Schizosaccharomyces pombe: one gene and its partners. The gene in region 1 interacts genetically with each later gene. Each region holds a gene or a part of one and is shown in the gene's direction. Other genes may lie near its edges. The genes, in order: amo1, rnf170, spn1 and kap114.

Region 1 (5,205 bases):
TACCAGGGGCGACGTATCAGGTTTTTTAATTCGGAACCTTTTATGGAAAAATACGGTCAATTTCTTTGGGCTCATAATATTGAACTTGATAAACTAAGTATTATGAAAACAGGCGCTGTTGGAGAACCGGGTAATATGTATTATGAAGAGTTAGCCTCAATTCCTTTACTCGTTAATGATTGATTATAAAGGTAGTAGTTGTTGTTTACAAAAACGCTTTTGGAATCGATTGTTTACCACATGATAGTCACATGTGTAAACAAATATGAAATTGGTCATAGAAGTAATATCGGTGCAATTTATAACTCATTTTGTTTTGACGAAGCACAAATATATAATATAGCTCCTTTTACCATCATTTCTCGAAATTGATTGAAATTTTGGAAACTATTCAAATTATTTTGAGATCCTTTATTATAATTGATTTCACATATACATGCTGATAATTTGACAATGGAAGACAAAATTGAAGGTAATAAACGAACCATTCACATCTTTTAACACATCTCATAGTTTGCTTGCAAAAGGCTATTGCTGTCGACACAATGAGCATTCCGGTAATGCAGTTAAAGCATGAGCGTAAGTAGACTAATTTATGTTAAATTATTAATTATTAGTTGCGCTTAAAGCCCGAGAAGAATACCTCCGAAAAGAACTTCCTTTGAAAGTTCGAGCAAATACTTCTCGCATGAACCCCGGAGCTAAAACTTGGATTCCACAAATTAATCACCGAAAAAGTAGAAATCATTATAATCGTAAAGAAACATGCCAGTTTCCCCCTCTATACAATGTTGAAGCTAAAATAAACCATTCATATTCTGCGTTTTATCGTCCGTTTACCAAACGTGAGAATGGTTTGTGGTATGCGAATCCGTATTATATGCAGCATGGTCCAAACGGAAATTACCATCACGTTTATTATTAGTCATGTTTTCAAAATTTTGTGCCAATTTTTTCAATTTCATTCAAAAACCGCATCTTCATCATTATGGTTATAATCGACGCCGTTAAAAAACCAGGAAAAAGAATTTCATAGTCTTAATTTCTTTATTTTTTTCTTTAATCAGATGTCTACAATAATGATTTTTCCATTAATTATTTTCTTCATCCATTGCTATGGTATACAAGCACTTTAGTGAAAACCGCTGTATTACTTTAAAGTCACTGCTTTGCGTACTTCTCATAAGGAAGCAAATTCAGTTAAAGTGCTTATTGTCATATGCCCCATTGCATTAAATATTTATAATCTGTACAATTCATCAATCCATTGAAGAAGCAAATCTTTGTTGGACGGCTTGTAACAATTCTATTCTTCAGCTTATTGCACTTCAAAATGCTCAGAAAAGCGATCTCTACAGCACGAAACTTTAAATATCCTTTATTTAATTGCGAAAGGAGGTTTTCTTACTTTGATATGTTTCGTAGTAAACGAAAATTTACAAGTGGTATCCTAACGGAGCAACTAGCGTTGAAATTAGATTCTGAACTGGGTTACGTGAAACAGGTTCTTGATGAGACATTACCTAAAAAAGGATACGAAAAGGCTCTTCATTCTTTTATAATCCATGAAGATCCTTCGCTTAACTACATTTCAGCTTTAAAAGAAACGGCAAAGGAAAGGTAAGCTATTTTTCCTCAATTGTTTGTTGAATTCAACGATGTGATTTCATGTCTATGCGTTGGCTAATATACAACGTTTAAGATTATGCTTTCAGCAGAGCCTTTAAATTTCTTTCGATATAATAGTACTAACGTAGCTAGAATACGCGTTACTGTTCCCGTATATAGCTCTCGTAAAAGTTACGTCCAAACAAAGCCGATAACGCATAGTGCTGAAAATGAAAATGGTAACGAAACATCTGATGAACTAGTGTTCTTTCAGCATTCAATTCCTGCTTATGTCCAACTCACTAACGTAAGATCTTAACATGTTATTATAACTTACAATTATAGAACCATGGCACAATTTTGTGTGCTTTAATACTTTGTAAGGGCATGCTTCATTTTGATAGCATTTCTTTTCAATCACCTCAAAACTCTCAAGCGTTCTCATCTGACTTGAGGTTAATTTTACAAAAATCACAGAAGTACACTGGCAGAAAAACAAAGCACGTTCCAGCTTCTATCAAGTCAAGTTTACTTGAATTCTTGGATGAACAAGGAATTACAGTAAAATTCATGAAGGCGCTAATATCTCGCAGTTGGCGAAAAGAAAATGTCTCCTATAAGCATTGGATTCATAATATTATTGGATTTATTTTACCTTCTGAATCATCAACAACTAAAAAATCAGACTCCCAATGATGGTATAATTGTTCTTTGAATTCCTTTACTTTATGATTAATTGGAGCAATAACGCTACACCACACTACGATTCCAAATGGGACGCCCACTCTAAAAATAAGAAAATTTGGAGTATAACATATGATTATGATACATTTTTATACTTATCTTTAGCATATCATTTCAACTATTCAACAACATGGTCGTTTGTAAGTATTTCCTTCAAAATCGGTGCAGGTATGGTACCAATTGTAAAAATCAACATACGGTACCTTCTAATGGACAAAATGCATTTTCTAAGGTTAATGTCTTTCGTCCAGAGAATGGACGACCTCCAATATGGGTACAAAGGCGTTTGAAGAGAAGCGATTTAGATAATTTGCTTCCCAATAGAAGAATGAAGGATATTAACGACGATCTTAAAAACGCAAAACCACAATGGCCTTTTACAGGTTATTCAGTAGTTGAGAATCTACCATCAATTTATGAAGGCGATGTTTCGCCTGAAGAATTGCGGTGGTGGGCATATCAGGCTAAAGCGACAAACAATATGCAAGCATATGAACAACGCCAGAAACAGTTGATGGATGATGTAGAAGCAAAAGCAGCAGCCGTTAAACGGTCGCCTGCTGCTGCTTTCGATGAAATGAGAAATAAACTCGTCGGAAAGACAAATTATAAGTCAATTTTTGATAAGTCTACTAGCAATTCAACGGTTACGTCTAATCAGTTCAACAAGCCAACTCAAAATAGTCCTTTCAATTCTTTTTCAAATAACAATAATTCTTTCAATAACAATCAGCAAGCAAACGATATTTTTGGCGCCCCTACGACTTCTGCATTTACATCGCAATTAAATGCGTCTCCATTTTCTCAAAATACATCCTCAAATTCATTTACGGGAAGTAATCCAGTCCAAAACAACCCATCTTCTTTTGGTTCGTCTAGTTTTGGTTCGGCAACCTCAGGGCCATCAGCATTTGGGGGAATATCTCAGCCAAATTCGTCATTTGTTAATTCCGGACAAGGGATTCCTAACTCATCATTCTCCTCGTTTTCACAAGTTGCTTCTGGGTTTTCACAAAGTCAAAATGTGAATGATCCAAGTTCGATTTTCGGTCCTACTGTTGCCAGCGGTTTTGGAATACAGAATCAGCCTCAGCAATCAGCTTTTCAAAATTTGAATACTCAATTCTCGCTTCCTAATAATTCACAACCAGTTTTTGGTCATACATCTTTAACACAACCAGTGAACCCAAATGGTTTTACTGTTCAGCCCCCTGCTACTTTTATGCAACAACCTCAAGGCCCTTTTGTTCCGCCTAATACTACTTTTGAATCTCCATTTGCCAATGTAACCTCTAAAATATCCGCTTCAGGATTTTCTAACGATAATCCTGCTAACAAAAATATAATCCAAACTCCTATGTTTGGATCTTCTAACACAATTGACGGTAAGTTTTTTTACTTTGTATCCTTGCTAGTATACGAATATGACTAACGATCATCGACAGGTCCGATTAATCCAATAGGTGCTTCTTCTATCCAAACTTTGGATGATCAAGTAGAAATGAGTAATTCCAATCAAAATCTCGCATTTCCCCCAGAAATGATTCAGCAATTTGAAGCTCAAGATTTCATTCCCGGAAAAGTTCCAACAACAGCCCCTCCACCACAATTTTGTTAATTATTTTATTAAAATAGTTATTCAACGTAAGTTTTTTCGGGGATTTTTGATTAGTATTAAACTTTGTTCAAATTTCATATTCGATATTAGGTTGTAAATATATATATATATATATATATGTAATTTCAATTACGAGTATTAGACAAAGTGTGATGCTTTCCTACACGGCTATCTGATAAAGTTGTACCTAACTCGATTTATGTATCATTGTAAAATTCTAGAAAGAAAACAGTACTATTTTTTGTTATTAATTCATGAATCAAACTGATAGCTGATTTGATATAGAGGACAGAACTGTCCTGCACGCCTATTGGGTCTAAAGAGATGGTTGTCCCAATTCCACACACAATTCACTCCAGATTTTTGCAAGAACCCAAAACTTTTGTTTATGGCTATTTATATATAAATCTCAATTTTATTTAATTCTTTAAATGTCTGCAAATATTTCTTACCTAGTCAATCCACCTACAGAGGTCGGTTCATCAATTCCAGCTGATACTGAACATGCCATTTCAGTTACTTTACCTACATGGAAATCCAATGTTGGATATGAAGAGGGAGATCCTAATGTAACTACTAAAATGAAGTCAGGATATCCGAGGTTCTTTATAAGCGCACACGTCAAGGATTGCATTAGCATCATAAAGAAATTTCCAGAGATTGAGATTTTGAAGCTAAAGGACTACGATATGTTTTTGTATCCTTCATTATCCGTTGCTAAGCAAAGTGCAGCTTTTCTTGAAAGTAAAGGACCTATAGACTCTGCGGAAGTCATTATTTATGATGCCACGAAGGGACTGCGAAAACATCTTGATTCAATTGACCGAAATCGCAAATATACTGAAGAAATACACATACCTCAGGTTTATTCTGTATTGTTTCCATCCAAATACTTTGGGATTGCCAAGCAATTCTGGCAACATACGGGGGACGGTATTTCAAGCAGACGCGCAGCTGCTTTTCTGCATTCCTACAAAAAAATTCAGTCTATTTCCGAATTTTTGGTTGCCCAGAGGTCTATTTCTCATCTCAAAAGTAAAAGCAGAAGCCGATATGCTTCCCATCCAGATCTACAGGCTTTGAATACTTGGATGACTAACGAAGGAAACCAAGCTAATGATGAAATGGAAGACGTATCCCTATATTTGGAGGAGAGATATGGGCGTAATTTAGATTTAAGTTTGGCTACAGCAGCTAAACTTGTTCTTCGACGACGTATCGCTGGTACCTTAAAA
Region 2 (4,775 bases), on another chromosome or scaffold:
TGCCTGCATAGTTTTGAAATTCTCTTCTCCAAACAAGTATCCTTTAACCCAAGAAAATATTAATACATACTTTACTGTTAAATTAAATTTTCATCTTTAAATGGTATTATATTACTTTGAAAATGTATAAATGGAAAAGGTGTAATGTAGAAACTAGAATGTAAACAAATAAAACTTAATGCTTTAACAATTGAAAGACTAAAACAAAGATAGAACACTAAAAAGAGAATCAAACTAAAACTTGAAAGTTAAACATAGAGAAAAGAATGTAGGGCCATCATGTTGGCGTGGCCGGTGCGCTTAGAGAAAACAAATAAATGCCAAACGACTTAAAAACTCTAGAAAAAATAAATAGCAGTCGTGCACAGTGTACAGCAATGATATAATAATAACAATGACGATAGATGAAAAGAGCCAAAAGAGATAACTCTAACCATCAGCTTGTAAACTGGAAGCTAGATTTGAGCCAAAAGGAAGGATATAAAAGAAGGTTTGTTCAATTAACACGTTTAGCAGATCGCCTCGAGTATAAAGAAGATTCCTTCAAATTTAAAGAAAATGGATCCTTACCTTCACTTCCCAAAGTATCATTCAAAGGAAAGCTAGAAATGATATAGTCATCATCATCGGTAGTAGTTTCTTCATCTAAAATGAGTTCTTTGATAGAGCCAGTATTCATTGACTTCTTGCTTAATTGTTCAGGTGAAAATCCCAAATGATTTAAGCGACGAATATCATAAGCAACACCCATTGCCTCATGTACAGATGATACACCGGGTGTTTTTGGCTCCGAATAAGAACTTAAAAGAGGGTGAGTAGCGCTTTTGATAGGTGTCGTGGGTATATCGATCTCACCTTTAGAAACGAGCGAGCGTGGAAGGGATAATTTCGGTCCACCTGGCGTGCCATGAAGTTTGGGCTTATACGTAAAATTTTCAGGCATTTTTGACTCTCCTTTAATCCAGGGATGCTGAAAAAACTGGTGAATATCGTATCTCTCTCTAGGGTCTACAGTGAGTAAATGGGTAATTAGATCCTTAGCAGAGTCGGAAATATCATCCCACCAAGGCGATAAAAATTCAAATTCACCATTAACAACCTTAGAAGCCAAATCTTTTATATTTTCATCGAAAAATGGTGGGAACCCACATAGCATCGTATGAAGAACACAACCCATCGCCCACATATCAACGTTTTTAGAATACAACTCATCATTGACAATTTCAGGAGCAGCGTAACCAACTGTTCCACAAGGCGTTGCGGTTTTAGAATTCCAAACCACTTTGCTGAATCCAAAATCAGCAATCAGTATTCTTCCAATACCGCCCGCTCCAATACCTTCAAGAAACATGCCCTCATCAAGCTTATTTGGTTCTAAGCTCGGTGGGGTGTAATTTTGAGATGGGAGATATTCAATTGGTTGAAATAATAAGTTTTCTGGTTTGATATCCCTATGAACAATTCCACAAACGTCATGAAGATGCTTAACAGCTTCTGCCACTTGAATGATTATATGTCGTGCCAAGTTCTCAGAAAAGTAGGTAAAATTAACAATTTGATGAAACAGCTCACCTCCTTCAGCAAGCTCCATAACTAAGTGATAAAAATCCTCTGTTTCAACAAAGTCAAAAAGATTGACCACATTTTTGTGCTTAACACGACGCATAATGTTAACCTCTTTAAATACACCTTGCCGCTGAAAAAGAGTTAGATAAACAATAATAAAATAATTGATAGAATATTTGAAAGGGGAATGGGCAACAACAACTTCATAATACAATGTGCGAATAATGATTTCTAGCTTCACTAACTCATTCTCATTCATGTCAAAAAATTGCACAAGGCCTTTGTAGTTTGCCAAGTATAGCCACAAAACTATGTCTTCATGCTGAGACGTTATTATTCAACCCTTTCTTTTGAAAATTGATGAAGACTCCAAAAACCCAAATCCCTCTCAAATTTCAATAAATAAGTCATTAATTTCAATAATTTACATACCTGTTTTTTATTCATTTCATACTTTCTTATTACTTTAACTGCCACGTGCTCTTTTCGATCAATGGAATACGCCTTATAAACTTGACTAAAAGCACCACTTTTTGGGTCAGTAAATGATCATACTATAATAAAAAACGCCAAAGAAATTTGGACATAACTTACTCTCCTAAATTTTCAATTAACTGATATTTTTCAAGACCAGGGTAGTTAGCGACTCTTATTTCTTCATCCCCACCGGCATTGACATTTTTGGCAGCAAGCTCAGTATAAGCGGCGACGTCCCTGTTTACACTAACATCAACCGACTTTGAAGCATTCGATCTCCCCTTTGAGCTTTTCGAATGCTTTAACAAGTTTTTAAACCCCTAAGACCTATTAGTATAAGTGGCAAGGAAGAATGCGTACCGCTAGTATCGACATGTTGCATTGATATACGCTGTGGGTAGGTGCATAGCTGACGCCAACGCTCACCACATTCCAGTAATATTGCCCTAAAAATCTATAATTTGCTATCTTTTATCAAAATACTCTAACATTGATTAATTTTTAGTCTAATAACGATCAATTTAGATCTTTAATACTTTCAATGGCTTGATTTAAGCAGTAATACGCAACTTAAAAATTTTTTTTTCTCATTCGATATTTGGTGCACTGAATAATATAAACACAATGATAGAGTCGGAATTAGCGACTTCGAGGTGGAGCTTGATGCTTGAAGCAGATATTGCAACTCAAACAACTCGCAGTTTAACGAATGAGCTGAGCTTCATTGTAGCTGGTCTACGGCCCTCCACCAAAGAGTCTGTCCTTCATTTTTTGGAATTAATATTTATAAATTTAAAATACCAGTCAAAAAAATGGCTTTATTCTCTCGTTATATGCAAATCCCTAATCGCACTACTAGGACGAAAGCGTTTATCAGCTAATGTTAGGAAAATAGTTAGATTTCTGAATGTGATTATTTGTGTTATAGGTCTTTGGAAAGGGCTATCCGCCATGTCAGGGAAAAACACTTTCATTAATGGGCTGCAGAGTTATTTAATCTCAGAGACAGCATTACCAGAGTTAGGGTCATTCCAAGAACTTTCCACTTCCTCGTTAGGAAGTTTTCGAATGTTTCAACAAATAGCAGTTGGGTTTGTAGATGCACTCTTTTGCACCCGTATCCCTGCTTCTTTGTGGATTAAGTATAAGGAGTACACAACTTCCGCAGAAACCACTGTTCCTCAAGAATGTGGACTCTGTATGATGTGTGTACAAAGGGGAGATGAACGCGTAGCAATTACTACGCCTTACACTACTGATTGTGGTCATACATATTGCTATGCTTGCATTATGTCTCGATTGAAACTTGTAAATAATGTGTCTTGCCCCATTTGCAAGCATAGAATTAGATTTGCTTTGCCTGATCAGACAATGGGTTAGTCAAAGATGAATAAGTAATGGAATAACTTATACTGATATTATTTATGATTTTGTTGACTACGAAAAGTACGATAGTAAAAATTTACTTGTAATATCATAAAATTATATGCGCTATTCAGAACCATACAAAATTCAATAGCAGTGTACTCTATGAAAGCATGCACTTACTTACTCACAAAATTGCATTTCCTTACTACAATTAAGCCTTGTGTCTACGATACGATTATTTGTAAATACCACCATCTACAAGTTAATAAAATATTTGCACCGAAAAGATTCTTATTCCACTTAAAGAAATCCAAGTAAATTAGGGAACAGTAAAAAGTAATCGGTCAATCAGCTTTTTACTTTTGAGAAGACAATTGCTTGAGCTTTTGCTTGACAATCTTCTGTTCCTCAATCAAAAAGGCACGAACAATACGATCCTTAACGGCATTGGCACTCAAGCAACCGCCATAAGCACGCTGGACAGTCTTCTTGTTGTGTGAAAGACGAGCAAACTCACGAGGACGCAGAGCGGGAATACCTTGCAAAGGGACGCCAGTATCACCGCAGCGAGGAATGGTGCCAAGCTTCTTGATGTGAAGATAGCGAATGTTGTTACCAGGAGTCTTGATAATTCTGGTTCTGTTGCTACGAGTGTTGTAAGCAAGGCGACGGCGGTAGGTAACTCGTTGAGCCATTTTTGTTAGATTTTTTTCGTTTGTTCTGCGCAGGTTTCCTTTTCAGCTATTTGGGAAATTGTGTTGTGTGTGACTGTTTTTACTCTCGGTAGGCCACCCTTTTTTCTAAATACAGAGTAGCGTACTTCGTTATAAGTTTTATAACGTATATAAATTCAAGTAGGTTATTGTGGCTTTTCATATGCGTTGGCTAGGAATCGTTACAGAGGATTTTTACTTCGCAAGTAAGCGTGCATGCAGAATTCCAATTTTCTACTAAGTGTATCCAGCTAACTCCTCTATTATTTGGCCAGTCAACTTATTTTCATTGATCTGATCCCTTTTTATGTCTAGTGGTTTTTGAGTTTTGCATTAGAACATCAAACATTTCGTTGAAATCTCCTTCTTACAATTTTTAAAATTTAGAATAATGCGACCAGCAAAATCTGTCGAAGGTTATATCATCATAGTCACTGGAGTTCATCCAGAAGCTACCGAAGAACAAGTAGAGGATTTATTTGCAGATTTTGGACCGGTCAAAAACTTGCACCTCAATTTAGATCGACGTACAGGTTATGTAAAGGGATATGCACTGATAGAATATGCTACATTGGAGCAAGCCCAGAAAGCTGTAGACGAAAAAAACCTCTCTTTGTTAGATGAAAAACTGGAGGTTGACTTTGCGTTTTT
Region 3 (5,788 bases), on another chromosome or scaffold:
AGTTTCTACAATGTCAGAATCAAGCCACAAAACCCAAGAGGTACTAGGTTTTAGAGTGCTTAACAGCAATGTATTTCTGGTAGCAGCTAACTTTCCCCGACGCTCCTTCTGGGCAGAAAATTTATGCCGTTCGGCCTCTGATTGCCCTGAAGAAAGATCAGAGTCTTGGATTAAAATTTTAACATCGGCAAAACGCTTATCGCCTGGACCTTTCTGAACAGCATTGATAGCATTCCGAAGTTCACGATGAACTTTTGCACCGTCCTTTGACGAAGGAACAATAAACCCTAAAGAAATTAAATTCCTCGGATAGTCAAGCTCAAGAAGATTTTTCCAATACTGTGGATAAAATCGAGCAATAGGAGTTAAGATTAACACCTCCTCTTTGTTACGAATGGGATCGGAAGATTCCGTAATTTTGTTCATATCGTATATTTCGTAAGAATTCCCCCCACGGTTTTCAATCTGAACTTTGGCATTTGAATTGACAGATGGAGTAAATAGGTAATAGATGAAAGTAATACCGAGGGCCACAAAAAGGAGCTGCCCTACAATTCTAGATTTATTGTACACGCGCATCTTAAAGTTTATAAATAAAAATGGAAGGGCACAATTTAATAAGAGTAATAAAAATAGAGAGTTAAAAATTAAAATCAACCCGAATCTGGATGTTGTTTTGTGGGTCTAAACAGAATCGAGTTCTTAAATAATTATGCGAATTCCTTAAAAAAGCAACGGCTAACAGCTGTAGTCGCGAAAGTAACACCTTATATATATAAATGTATTTCAACTAGTGAATACCCCGTTAATAAATACTTAAGATAATTTAAGCATTAATACAAACAAAGGATTATGTCGTACGTTCACGAATCAAGCTTGTACAGGTTTTGCCCCTATCGAGTAAAAACAAAGCCAAAGAAAGAAGTATTAAAAACGCTTTTTCGAGTAAAAGAAACTGTTTTTAAAATAAAAAATTTCCTCCAATAAACCCAGAATTTGAGTGTTTTCTTATATATTGGTTCGATTCCGCCGCCAGAGAACGCCTTTGTCCAGTATAATGTGTGGCTCTGGTTACGTCGAAAAGGAGGTGAATACCAGTTACCTTGATCCCATCTGTATTCATAACAACTAGAATTAATAGCGTAGTCACGCAAGATTTCGTTATTAAATTCAATTATAGATATTTCGATTTCTTAATATAAGACACGTACTTCTATATTGTGTTGATTAACGTCTTTTCACATTAATTTTTGACATATTATATTCATAGTTTTAACGACGACATACTGGGATTGCTTGCGTACCTTTACTGGAGTTATTCTTTCTCTGATACCAGCCACACAACACCGCGTTAAGTCATTCCGTGCTTTGATAGCAAGAAGAGCTGAAATAGCTAGAAGGAAAACAAAACAATGATTGACTATTAAATGCCTTTATTCAATTGAGTTTTAGAGCTTATACTGCAATTCGGAGACTGTAAACGCTGTTATAAAGACTAATATAATCGTTATTTAATTAGTAAAAATGATCCTATTATGTTAAATTTTTTTTTAACATTTTATTATTTATAATAAGTTCAAATTTATCTTAAAAGTCCTTTAAGATCAAAAATATACGGTAAACAAGCTTCTAATGTTTTAGTTTGATCTTACTTTTTCGTAGGAAAAGAAATATAGATATTTGTTTCTGAATCATCTATTAGCATGAAAATGTTGGCCAGGCAATAATTTCTAACTGTGTTTTATGTCTAATAATTAAATCTTTAAAATCGTTGAGGGTCACATTGTCGACGTACAAGTTCAATTGAATAAATAATCAGTTGTGCAATAAATTGGATTTGCATTAATGCTCAATTCAACGACTACTGCCCAAGGTTCTATATTAATAGAAAAATAAATATTTTAAATTAAATTCAAAAGATTTAGATGATTGCATGCTGAAAGGGTATTCAAACAAATAATTTAGGTATAAATAAAAGGTCAAAAAATGTTTTTAAACAAATACAGATAATGGATAATTTTAATTCATTAGATTTATCCAATTGTTAAAAAAAATAATTGTAAAATTAACAAGACAACTAAAACAATGGAATAACAATGTTTAGTATCTTTTTATTTAATGCATCCCAGCCGTGTATATTTCGAGGTTAAGGACCTAAATTCGACGCGACAGTGAATTAAGAAATTTCAAAAAAGCTCTATAATTTCGTGAAACATAATTAAGAAAAAAATTGGTTAAGTTTAATTTCCTACTTGAGCAAATAGATGTTCATGCTCGAGCTCCTAGCTACACTCTTCATCACATACATAACCACCAACACGGGGGTTTTCGATAATTTCTGACATGGCGTCAATGGTACTCGCGGATGGTATGCCTACAGTTAAAGATGATTCCACTAGAAGCAGGGGTTCCGACGTTGATTCTTTCACATCTACAGATAATGTAACGCAAATAAATGTTGAGGCAGCCATTTCAGAAAACAAGAATGAAGAAAAACCCATTCAGGATAATTCTGAACAAGAGGTAATCAATTATTTAAAATTCCTTTACTAATATTTAGTTCAATCCGCACGTTAGTATAATCCAGCGTCAGTTGAACGGATACGTTGGATTCGCTAGTCTTCCTAATCAATGGCATCGTCGTTGTGTTCGTCAAGGTTTTAATTTCAACGTATTAGTATTAGGGGAAAGCGGTTCAGGGAAATCTACACTTGTGAATACGCTATTGAATAGAGATGTTTACCCACCGACCCAGAAATCTTTAACTGGGGATTTTGGAGTGAACCCAGAACCCACTGTTATGATCAACTCTTCTGCAGTTGAAATAGTGGAAAATGGTATCAGTCTTCAATTAAATGTAATTGATACACCCGGTTTTGGCGATTTTATTGACAACACCGATTGTTGGCAACCAGTTTTGACAGATATCGAGGGTCGCTATGATCAATATCTTGAGCTTGAAAAGCACAATCCTCGATCTACTATTCAAGATCCAAGAGTTCATGCTTGTATATTTTTTATTCAGCCTACTGGTCATGCTATAAGTGCTATGGAGCTTCGAGTTATGTTGGCTTTGCACGAGAAAGTAAATATTATACCCATCATTGCGAAAGCCGATACACTAACGGATGATGAACTTAACTTTACGAAGGAAATGGTAAGCCCTAATCTTGATTTAAAGTTGCTAATGAAAAAATGATAGATTTTGAGAGATATCCAATACCACAATATCAGAATTTTCTTCCCTCCGACATATGAGACCGATGATCCTGAATCAGTGGCAGAAAATGCAGACATCATGAGTAGAATACCTTTTGCTATAATTGCTTCTAATACATTCGTGGTCAACAATGAAGGAAAGCGCGTCCGCGGGAGGCGGTACCCATGGGGCGTTGTTGAAGTCGATAATGAAGAGCATTCTGATTTCCCTAAGCTTCGTGAAATGCTTATTCGAACACACTTAGAAGAACTCAAAGAACAGACAAATAAGCTGTATGAAGCGTATCGTACTGAACGGTTGCTTAGCAGCGGAATATCACAAGATCACTCCGTTTTTCGTGAAGTCAACCCTAGTGCTAAACTCGAAGAGGAGCGTGCCTTACACGAAGAGAAATTGATGAAAATGGAAGCAGAAATGAAAACCATTTTTTCTCAGAAGGTTCAAGAAAAAGAAGATCGTCTTAAACAATCTGAAAACGAGTTACGTACCCGTCATCGCGAAATGAAGGCAGCATTGGAGAAGCAAAAAGCTGACTTAATTGATCACAAAAATCGGTTAATGCAAGCTAAAGCTGCGGCCGAAAATGAGAAGAGTAAAAGGAAGTTTTTTAAATAGTCTCCTTACTAGCTGATATTTATTTGTATGACACCGCAGTTCTACTGCTATCTCCTTCTTTGTTATTTAATTACTACTTAAAGTCCAATATTGGGCTGTATATCTTTCCTTGATTATTCTACCATATGGAGTCGTTAATTTTTATCGAAATTTTCTTTTTTAGGAGGTTCACTAATTGACATTTTGCTTGAACAAACAAATTGAAACAGCCGGCTTATCTCTATTCAACCCGTTAAAGTGGGAGTTTGCTTCTTTTATTGCCAGTGTATTTTTCAATCTATCGAAAAATATCTATTTTCCAGTCAGTGGGGGTATTTAGACAGCTAGATTTCAGTTGAAAGAGTCGAAAAAATTTTGATGCATATATTATTAGAAGAGATTTGCTTGCGACGTCGTTTTTAGACTTTAGTTTTTGCATAATTTTTGTTCGGTTAAACGAAAAACACTGTTGCAATTGATACCTTCTCGGTGTTATAGAATAGTAAATATGAGATTTGTTGTAAGTCATTCAATACAAAGATCGGTTTGATGCTAAATACGTTTACTTGCTTGAATACTATTTACCACTGTACAAAATGTTTATTTCGAACGATAAATTTAGCGGGGTATTAGAACAAAGTTACTTGGCCAATTTGAAATATTTGAAGGATCATTATGAGCTTCTCTTTCTTTGTAAGTATTAGTAAATAAATGAAATTTATATTTACATATATGCCACCAGTATCTTTAATTGTAAAAAATGTTGATACTCAAGTTTCTTTATTATTATTTGAACGGTGACTTATATAATGATACATAGCGATTAGTAAAAAAGGTAGCAACCTCTACATATTTCATTAATTTGATGAAGGTCAATGTAGTTAATAACTCATAACGTTTTTTTAAGTACTTTAATTAATGATCCCAAAAATCGCTAGCAGAAACAAAATCATTAGAGCGTTTTGAAGTGTTAGCTCAGGCTGACTATGACTTTAAGGGATCACCATTTTTATAATGTAACATACACCGCATATCGATTGTCTCCTTTGTTTGGGTTTGAATATTCAAACTTGACTGAAATAGGTAAAAAGCTTACGAGATTTCTTCGCTATGGTACTGATCGTACTGGTTACTTTACAAATAGTACTAGGTTTGCTGACTTGATAATTGAGAAAGCTACGTTTACGGAGTTCGGAAACACATCTAGTTTCCCTAAATTTTTAAAGCTGGATATTTCGTATGAGACGTCTAGTGATTTAGAGGTGAAACGCAAAGGCCAGATGTTTTTCTTCGAGTCATTTCGGAAGTTCTCCCACGCGGAGGCTGACAGAACACGTTTATCGCTTGAAGGGAATTCTGTATTCTTTTCATTAGCTCTTGTTCGTATGGATGGGGCGCTATGGATGGCCGTTGAGCAGTTCCTCCAGCAGGAATTTGATACACAAATTTTACCATGCCTAATTGCTCCAGAAATACTTTTAGAGTTTTTGAAAATTTGGCAAAATCATGTAAATAGTCAAACAGCCCTCCCGCTTGAGTTGACCTGGACAACCGGAAATCCTAATCTTTCATCAGTCACAATTTCCATAAGACCTGAAGATTTAAAAAAAATTTTCCGTAGCTCCTCATTTTTCTACCCAATTCTTATGGAACATATCAAAAGGTGTACTTCTTTAGATTTGACAAACTCAGTATTCTCACTTTCCAAAGTGAACACTGATTGTGCCATTCTAACATCGTCCGGCAAGCTGAAAATCTTTTCTAAAGCTCAAAATATTGTATTTGATGTTTTGTTAGCCCTTGAGCCCATGCAATTGCCCGAGTATTAATGAATTATAAGGGTTTAAGTTTGTCACTATGCGTTGAGCCTCTTTCCTTCATGCCAGCTTTACATTTATGTCAAAGAAATGATACACTTGCTCCTAAATACGTGAATGCAAATTGACTGATCAGTTTGCCGTTATATTTATATTT
Region 4 (7,359 bases), on another chromosome or scaffold:
GCGGACCTAAGTCTTCTGTCCTTCCTTTAGGGTTTGAAGAAGAAAATACTCAATCTGAAAAGCAAGATGGAAATACATCTTTAAGATTACATGGCAAGGGCGAATTTTTGGAGCGAATTAGTACTGAAGCAATGACCATTTTACAAAACTCCATTTTAGCAGTTTCAAGTGTCGGCGAAGATGAAGATGAAGCAACAGTTGTTGACTCATGTATCATAGGATATGTGTTTGTTTCGGACGTTGATGATGTTAAAAACAGAATGACTCTTTTGTCTCCAGTTCCTGAACAACTTCCCAGCAATGCTTTAATAATGGGAACTTGCAAATGGCAGGAGTAAATTCAACGTTTAATGTTACACGAGCTTATTATACATGTTCCTAGAGTACTAAAAATTATGCAAATTATATCATTTATATATATTCGTTAGATAAACTTATTTTTTTGTTAAAAAACAAGCATGATGCGCTGTTCTGTAATTCTAGGTTTACAAAGCACGACGATTAATGAACGATGATTTGAAAATATTATATATAATGCCGACAGTAACTTCATAAAGGATAGATTGAAAGAGGCTAGAAAAAAATTAACATTTGTCAATTCAGGTCCAGCTAAAGGAAATATTCCGCTGTCACTTTTGCAGCTGGCTCCACAAAAGGCGTTTCTTGATTAGGAGCTGCATCAAAAACATTAAAAAATCTTGATTGATCTGTGTCGATCTGAAGGATGCTAGCCAAGTTGGCACATCTGTAACAGTAATTTGGGGCAGACCACACTGTCGATAATTTTTTTTCAAACAATATTTGATAACCTTCGCTGCATAGTTGATGAGCTCGTAAGATGTGCTTCATATTGTTGTATTCTAGAAATTTTGTTACAATAACTTCACCGAAAGAAAAACCTGCACCACGGGGCGAAAGTGAAAATTCTTGCACGCTAGGATCCGGATCCGACCACACGAGATCGGCCATAGGTCCCTCGTGTGGGAATTCTCTAAACCTGTCTAAGACAAGGATTTGATCTATGTGCTGAATACTAGGAGAAAGTCCACCATGAACACAAAAAATAGTGTCATCAATTGTTGCAGAAAGTGTTAGGAAATCAAAGATATCGGTAAAATATTTCCAAACATTAGCATTACCGTATTTTCTTAAGCATTCTGAATAAAATCCATAGGTTTGGGTTATTCCTCTGGACTCATGGTTTCCGCGCAAAAGAGTAATCCTCTTTGGATACCGTAACTTGAGACATATCAAAAGGGTTATAGTTTCTATACTATAATAGCCCCGATCAACATAATCACCTTCAAATAGTTAGCAACGAATAATAAAGCATGTGCTGTGTTCTCAATGTTCAGTTTTAATGATTTGTAGTAATCAGCTAATGTGATTCTAATGAACATCATTTTAACTTACCGAGAAAAAGATAGTTTGTGTATGGGCATGGGCCTCCTATACGAAAGATTTCAAGTAGATCATCAAATTGGCTATATACTTTGTAAGCAGAATGTCCACAAAGAATGAACTTTTTGCAATATTGAATCTATGCATACCCATGAATATCACCAACCACGGTAATGGGAGTAGACAACCTGACAACATTGCTTTCTTGCATTAAAACTTCCTTTGCGAGAGAACAAAGATAAGCAATAACGGACTCAGCAATCAATTGTTTTTCATATAATCTCTCTATTATGTTATCGAGGTCAATCATCTTTAGGAATTTCCGTGAAACTAGTGAGATTTATTAAAATACAAAAACAATGTCTTGCACCGTTTTGTATTGGATATATATAATTTAAGAAGACACAAACAGTGCTTGGCTAGGGAAAATTTCACCCAAGGTTTGTATCAGTCTAATCGGCTTTGACCGGATACGCTTCGAAAAACAAAGGATTAAGCACTTCTTATATGGAAAGCTTACGCGTTACTTCTCTTTATTTGCACGCATTAGAAAAATTCCACTAAAATGTTGTATGTGTCAGTTTTATGAAATTTGGAGGTTGGTTTCTGACTTGTCAGTGATCGAAACTACACGATTAATACATAATACTGTGTAGTTCGCCAATGAGATTTTAAGTTAAGAAAGCCTCTAATGGTATACCCAAAGAACAAAAATTACATAATGCTTGAAAAACGTGTTAAAATTCTTTCAGACATTCTATATGAATATCTGTCTCTTCTGCTGAAAAGGTTTAGTGCTTCTCTCGTTTCAGACCATCAGATAAATATTTCGGTTGAAAATAAGCGATAATTGATTAGGTATATTCTTGTATTCAAAGATCAGTCGGTCATTAAAAAACTCAGTTATGCAATACATTAAAATATAAGGAAAATCAAGAATGAAAATAGTAATAGTTACATGGCCTTTCTTTTTAATTTTTTTTTTAAATGAACAACAATACAAGCAATTATTGTTTCAATTAACACTATTTTGTTAGACATTAGCAATTTAAGTGACAATGTCACCTATTTACCATCCACTTCTTTGAACATGAATTTCCTAGTAACATTTCACTCTTAGTAGTACCTGCATTATACCTGCATAAAAAATTATTAAATACAGCCATTTTTAAGGGGTTAACTATACCCGTCTGTACATAAATATATTTATTATTATCTACTTTCTTTAAGCAGATAGCATCAAAACCTACCAATTGTTTAACGTCTATTATCACGCTAAATGGTTGAAAGCAAAATCATTAAGCTGCTTGAACAAGTGCAATCTGCTGATCCTAATTCAAGAATACAAGCCGAATTGGGGTTACGAGACCTTGAGAAATATCACGGTATGCTACTTAAGCTATAAACTAACCGAAAAAATTACTAACTATCTTTTACGAAGATTTTGCTGCGAAGTTAACAGATATCGCATCTTCTGGTGCTTCTGTTCCTTTAAGACAAGGTTCTCTCATTTATTTACAAAGATATATTGTTCACCATTGGTCTCCACTGTTTGAGCAATTTCAAGATGGACCGATACCCGATGAAAATGTCAAAAAACATGTCAGAGAAACACTATTACATCTTTTAGTGAGCCTTGACAATTTCACTTTAATCAAGGCTGTGGCATATGCTGTTTCTCTAATTGCAAACGTGGATTATCCCGATGAATGGCCAGAAGTTGTACCGGCCGTTCTGCATCTTTTACAATCTACTAATGAAAACTCTATTAATGCTTCACTGGATGTTCTGGACGAGCTTGTAGATGAGTCCCTTGTTGAAGAACAGTTCTTTATTATTGCACCTCAACTTGCATCCATTCTCTATCAGTTTATATTTTCCGCTCCCCCTAATGATTCCATGAGGATGTTGCAAGCTAGAGGAATTAAACTGTTTCGTTCTTGCCTAGAACTTATTGAGATTTATAAAGAAACGAAAGCTGAACATGTTCGTGTATTTCTTGAACAAATACTTCCCCCTTGGATGGATATGTTCTCGCACAAGTTTGAAGTTTCCCTCGTTGATGATCGACAAGTTATTTTACCTGATTCCTGTGGTTATTTTTGTATCATGGGAGAAATTGCTATGACTCTTACAAAACTTCGCGAATTGTTTCCTTCTAAATTGACACCGTACGTTGTGACCTTCGTCGAACTTGTTTGGAATATTATAGAAAAGTTACTAGATCCATATATACGAGAAGTTGTTTTTAGCGATGGTTTAGATGATTCAGCATTTGGTGATAAATACCCTATTCGTTATTTAGTTGAACTACTGCTATTCGTTTCTGTAGCTTTGCAAAGCAAGTTTGTTCAAAACTTGTTTGTCAGTAATACGGTCCCCGTACCTCCTTTACCTCCTTGCATTCCACTTCTGGTGCAATATACGCAACTACCTAAGCATCAAATTGAAGTATATGAAAGCGATGTCAGTGAATATATCGCAAACGAATTTTCTATGGATTTTGCTAGTGATACGGTTCGCGGTGCCGCCATCAGCGTACTAAGTGCATTTGAAGAGCATACCACTTTACCAATCCAGCAAAGTCTACGAGAAATGTCCGCGACTTACATATTAAACAATGAAATCAATTGGATATATCAAGAAGCCCTCTTGTATGCATGTTGTTCCGTGGATGCTGCTTCAGATGACACTTATGATGATTACTTGGACCCCATATACGAGGCTATCAAAGTCCGTATTGATTACTCCGATGCTCCAATTTTACTTCTTTCTAGGTTTTTCCTCTTTATCGGATATTTCTCTGAAAGCACCGTAGTAGCCTCTCAATTTTTCCAAATAATAATGAATAATTTGGTTAATGCTTTACAAGTTGATACTGTACAGTATGCTGCTATGAAAGCTATTGAGCGCTTTTGTTCAGTCGGAAAAGTCAAACCGATACTTTCTTTGCAGCCGATGATTTTGGAAGTTCTTTCTCAGTATGCTTCGAAGTCAAGCGATGAAGCTCTTGTATTACTTGTGGAAGCTATTTCTTCTGCGGTAAAACTTGATTGTGCAAAGGCTGCTGAATTAGGTAATTCTGTTATTCCACTTCTATTTAATTTGGTTGCTACGAACGCTTCTGATCCTTACATCTGTGGAATTATTGAAGACACCTTTGAGGACATTATCCATGCGGCAAATAACTATGAAAGTATGTGTGAAATTACTTTGCCAGAACTATTACAGGTCCTGAATCAAGAAGACCCGATTATGGTTAATATTGGGGCTACCTTGCTTTCTTGTTTGATTCGTGCAGGTCCTTCACCACTTCCTAATGGATTTGTTGGATATGTCTTGCCCCCTGTTTATAAGATTACTCAAATTCATTCTGGAGACACAGAACTGCTTCAGTTATCTCAGGAAATTCTTAAGGGGCTTTTGGAAAAGGACACACCACAATTATTGGAAACGGAGATTTCAGGTAGTAGTGGCTTTCAATACATTCTTTTTATTTTGCATCAGTTACTTGACAAAGAGAGTGATGATTCCGCCTGCTTTTTAGTTGGGCCTATCTTACTTGAATTGGCTGATCACGCAAGTCAAATGGTCGATCTTCAGTCCATTCTTCTTTCTTGCATTAAGAGATTGGCAATAGCTGAACAACCACGGTTTATTCAAGTAAGTTCTTATTGAATACCTGTTTCTGACTTTTATTTAGAGTATAATTTACGTTTTTGCCAAATTAATTGTTAAGGACTCTTTGGGAATGATGCACTTCTTGACATCGTCTTTATTAAATGAACAAGGGCTAACGGCTTTTGAAGTACTTATGACCGTTTGGTGTGACAACTTTGTTTATTTTAGCAACTTCAAAAACATTTCTATAATGTATGTCCTTATATTATTTGATGCTTATATAAATTCTAACCTGAAAGTTGTATTGCTATGACTAAAATTTATTCTTTTGACAGTCCTCTACTTGATTCAGTTCAAGTTAAAGGTGAACTTATCTCTCATTCTAATCGCATTATAACCCGGTCGCAGTCTAAACTTCGTATGTTAAAAGCTTTTGATAGTTTTCATTAACCAAAACTAGATCCCGAGGAATATTCATATGTAAGCGTTGGAGAAAAAATATTGCGACTACTTTCAGAGGAATTTGTTTCGTTGTCTAAAGATGCAATTGTTGAAGAAGTTTCCGATGATGGAGCGGATGATTGGGATGACGGTCCTATCAGTGCAGAGACGTTTGGGCTATCAGCTAATGGTACGCGAGACCTTTAAAAGAAAAGGCTAACAATAGATGTTAACGAATTGTCCAAAGATGAATTTTCTGGCGTAGACAATTCAGAAGATGAGGATAATACTGATTTGCAGGTGGGTTAAAGTTTTGGTTTTTAGGGCTAACATTTTTAGTTTTATCTTCTAGAGTTTTTTAAGGAAGCTATGAAAAGCAATCTGCACAATATCAACGAGGTTGTTTTTAGACTACCTCAGGAAGAACAGGATGCGCTCGTTCAAATTAAAGAAAAATAAAGGTGTAAAGGATTTAAAAAATCAAGAATACCTGAACGATTTCCAATAGTTTACTTGCACTATAACATTTACTAATATCATGTGCATTAAAAGGAAAGTAGGGTAAAATTATACCTTTCAGAGTACTTAAGGCTCTAGGTATAAGGTCAAAAGGATTATTTAAGCTGAAAGGGACTAAAGTATATGAAGAATAAAGTTGGTAAATTAATTCTTTCAAAAGATACATTTTTTAAATTAAAATAAACAGACAAACTTAGTTCATTATAAACATAAAAACAAGGTTATATAATACCAATAATTACCATTTTATTGGAGAGAGTATGATGGTAATTATTAACAAAGTGCAGATAAACGAGCATGAAATAAGGTCTTATCTGGAGATTAATATGGCACAAGTAAATGAGCATTTCAATATGAAAATAATTAAGACTGAAAAAGAACAAAATTAGGTAAATCGGCATTAAAATATGCCACCGTATATCTATGCAAAAATTCAAGAAACACCAGGTCAGCAAGCTACCGAAAGGTAAAAGTCACAAAAAGGAACGGGATTATTTCGTAAAATCAAGGGAATCCATAGTCAAAAGAAAACTAAAAACAAAGGATATGTAAAAAGCATGCAGTGCAACCATAGAATCATAAAACAGATAACAACCAATGATATACAAATAAGTTAAATAACAGAAATAGAAGATATGCCAGAATTTAAATACGTAAAAATGCACAAAGGCACGCCTATAAACATATTGCTAAAACAAAAGAGTACAAACTTTACCACATTTGCTTAGCACGTGAGCTCGAAACAGCGCCAGCAAGTACAGCAGGAGCACGAGTCACAGGATCAATAATTGGTATACCAGAAGATTTCCGAGTACGTGAACCGACGTTTTGATGTAATCCAGATAAAGGATGATGGGTGTAATTAGAAACCCCTGGGTGTACATTAGGAAGTACATTAGGATACAAATTGGGGGTCATGGGCGAAAGCGAAGGAGAACTGCTAGTAGGTGATAGACCAGTAGACTGATAAATAGATACTAACTAAACCAATAAAGTTAGTACGCACGCTTTTATTCCTCTATGAATAAAAAGTATATGGTACAAAACAGAAATGTAATGGCAATGAGCACTTCAGGCTTGACTCAGGAACATAATTTTCAATTTGTTTTAAAACCTACCTCTTCGTCTGAAAGAGATGGACAAAACTCCAAATCATCTTCCATATCGAATGTCCTTGCTTTCTCAAAGGAAGCACGAAAATCATTCACTAGTTCAACAGTTAGCAGAGGATCACCACACGCACATTTAGAACTAATTAGCTCTCAAAAGCTTACATTGATAGCCATAAGGAATATTCTGGTATCCTAAATTGTTCTTGTAATAAAACGCCATTTTGTATTGTAATTGTTGAGGTGAATTTAAAATATGAGTATTGGA

What was found.
Region 2: mutations in amo1 (region 1) and rnf170 together harm fitness less than expected from each alone (positive genetic interaction), as found in Schizosaccharomyces pombe (one large-scale study listed by BioGRID).
Region 3: mutations in amo1 (region 1) and spn1 together harm fitness more than expected from each alone (negative genetic interaction), as found in Schizosaccharomyces pombe (one large-scale study listed by BioGRID).
Region 4: mutations in amo1 (region 1) and kap114 together harm fitness less than expected from each alone (positive genetic interaction), as found in Schizosaccharomyces pombe (one large-scale study listed by BioGRID).

Annotation. Positions count from the first base shown.
Region 1 is NC_003423.3:3,027,470-3,032,674, reverse strand, and holds amo1 (nuclear rim protein Amo1), read left to right. Parts: upstream 1-2,449; 5' UTR 2,450-2,482; coding exon 2,483-3,737; exon of another isoform or gene 3,738-3,797; coding exon 3,798-3,970; 3' UTR 3,971-3,990; downstream 3,991-5,205. Other genes in the region: SPOM_SPBC15D4.13C (ASCC1 family protein), read left to right, coding at 1-183; protein mug98, read left to right, coding at 546-579, 618-925; SPOM_SPBC15D4.11C (Mam33 family protein), read left to right, coding at 1,334-1,620, 1,762-1,915, 1,954-2,304; met3 (cystathionine gamma-synthase), read left to right, coding at 4,402-5,205. UniProt on the Schizosaccharomyces pombe protein: Involved in the cell polarity process where it is required for the correct termination of microtubule growth at the cell ends during interphase.
Region 2 is NC_003424.3:4,089,662-4,094,436, forward strand, and holds rnf170 (ubiquitin-protein ligase E3), read left to right. Parts: upstream 1-2,460; 5' UTR 2,461-2,667; coding exon 2,668-3,423; 3' UTR 3,424-3,461; downstream 3,462-4,775. Other genes in the region: MAPK-activated protein kinase Cmk2, read right to left, coding at 497-1,696, 1,999-2,095, 2,161-2,363, 2,404-2,418; rpl3401 (60S ribosomal protein L34), read right to left, coding at 3,768-4,106; rbm8 (RNA-binding protein), read left to right, coding at 4,516-4,775.
Region 3 is NC_003424.3:4,850,743-4,856,530, forward strand, and holds spn1 (mitotic septin Spn1), read left to right. Parts: upstream 1-2,297; 5' UTR 2,298-2,343; coding exon 2,344-2,523; exon of another isoform or gene 2,524-2,560; coding exon 2,561-3,157; intron 3,158-3,202; coding exon 3,203-3,835; 3' UTR 3,836-4,457; downstream 4,458-5,788. Other genes in the region: mannan polymerase complex subunit Mnn9, read right to left, coding at 1-579; kinetochore protein fta1, read left to right, coding at 4,801-5,643. UniProt on the Schizosaccharomyces pombe protein: Plays a role in the cell cycle. Involved in a late stage of septum formation leading to the separation of the daughter cells.
Region 4 is NC_003424.3:2,371,707-2,379,065, reverse strand, and holds kap114 (karyopherin/importin beta family nuclear import signal receptor Kap14), read left to right. Parts: upstream 1-2,513; 5' UTR 2,514-2,680; coding exon 2,681-2,786; intron 2,787-2,842; coding exon 2,843-5,064; intron 5,065-5,104; coding exon 5,105-5,274; intron 5,275-5,295; exon of another isoform or gene 5,296-5,321; coding exon 5,322-5,440; exon of another isoform or gene 5,441-5,482; coding exon 5,483-5,653; exon of another isoform or gene 5,654-5,689; coding exon 5,690-5,763; exon of another isoform or gene 5,764-5,802; coding exon 5,803-5,922; 3' UTR 5,923-6,014; downstream 6,015-7,359. Other genes in the region: SPOM_SPAC22H10.05C (cleavage and polyadenylation specificity factor complex subunit), read left to right, coding at 1-338; ppa3 (protein phosphatase type 2A), read right to left, coding at 610-1,301, 1,414-1,484, 1,551-1,711; SPOM_SPAC22H10.02 (uncharacterized protein), read right to left, coding at 6,694-6,963, 7,101-7,189, 7,257-7,314. UniProt on the Schizosaccharomyces pombe protein: Required for nuclear protein import and mediates docking of import substrate to distinct nucleoporins. Serves a receptor for nuclear localization signals. Mediates the nuclear import of TATA-binding protein (TBP) and of histones H2A and H2B.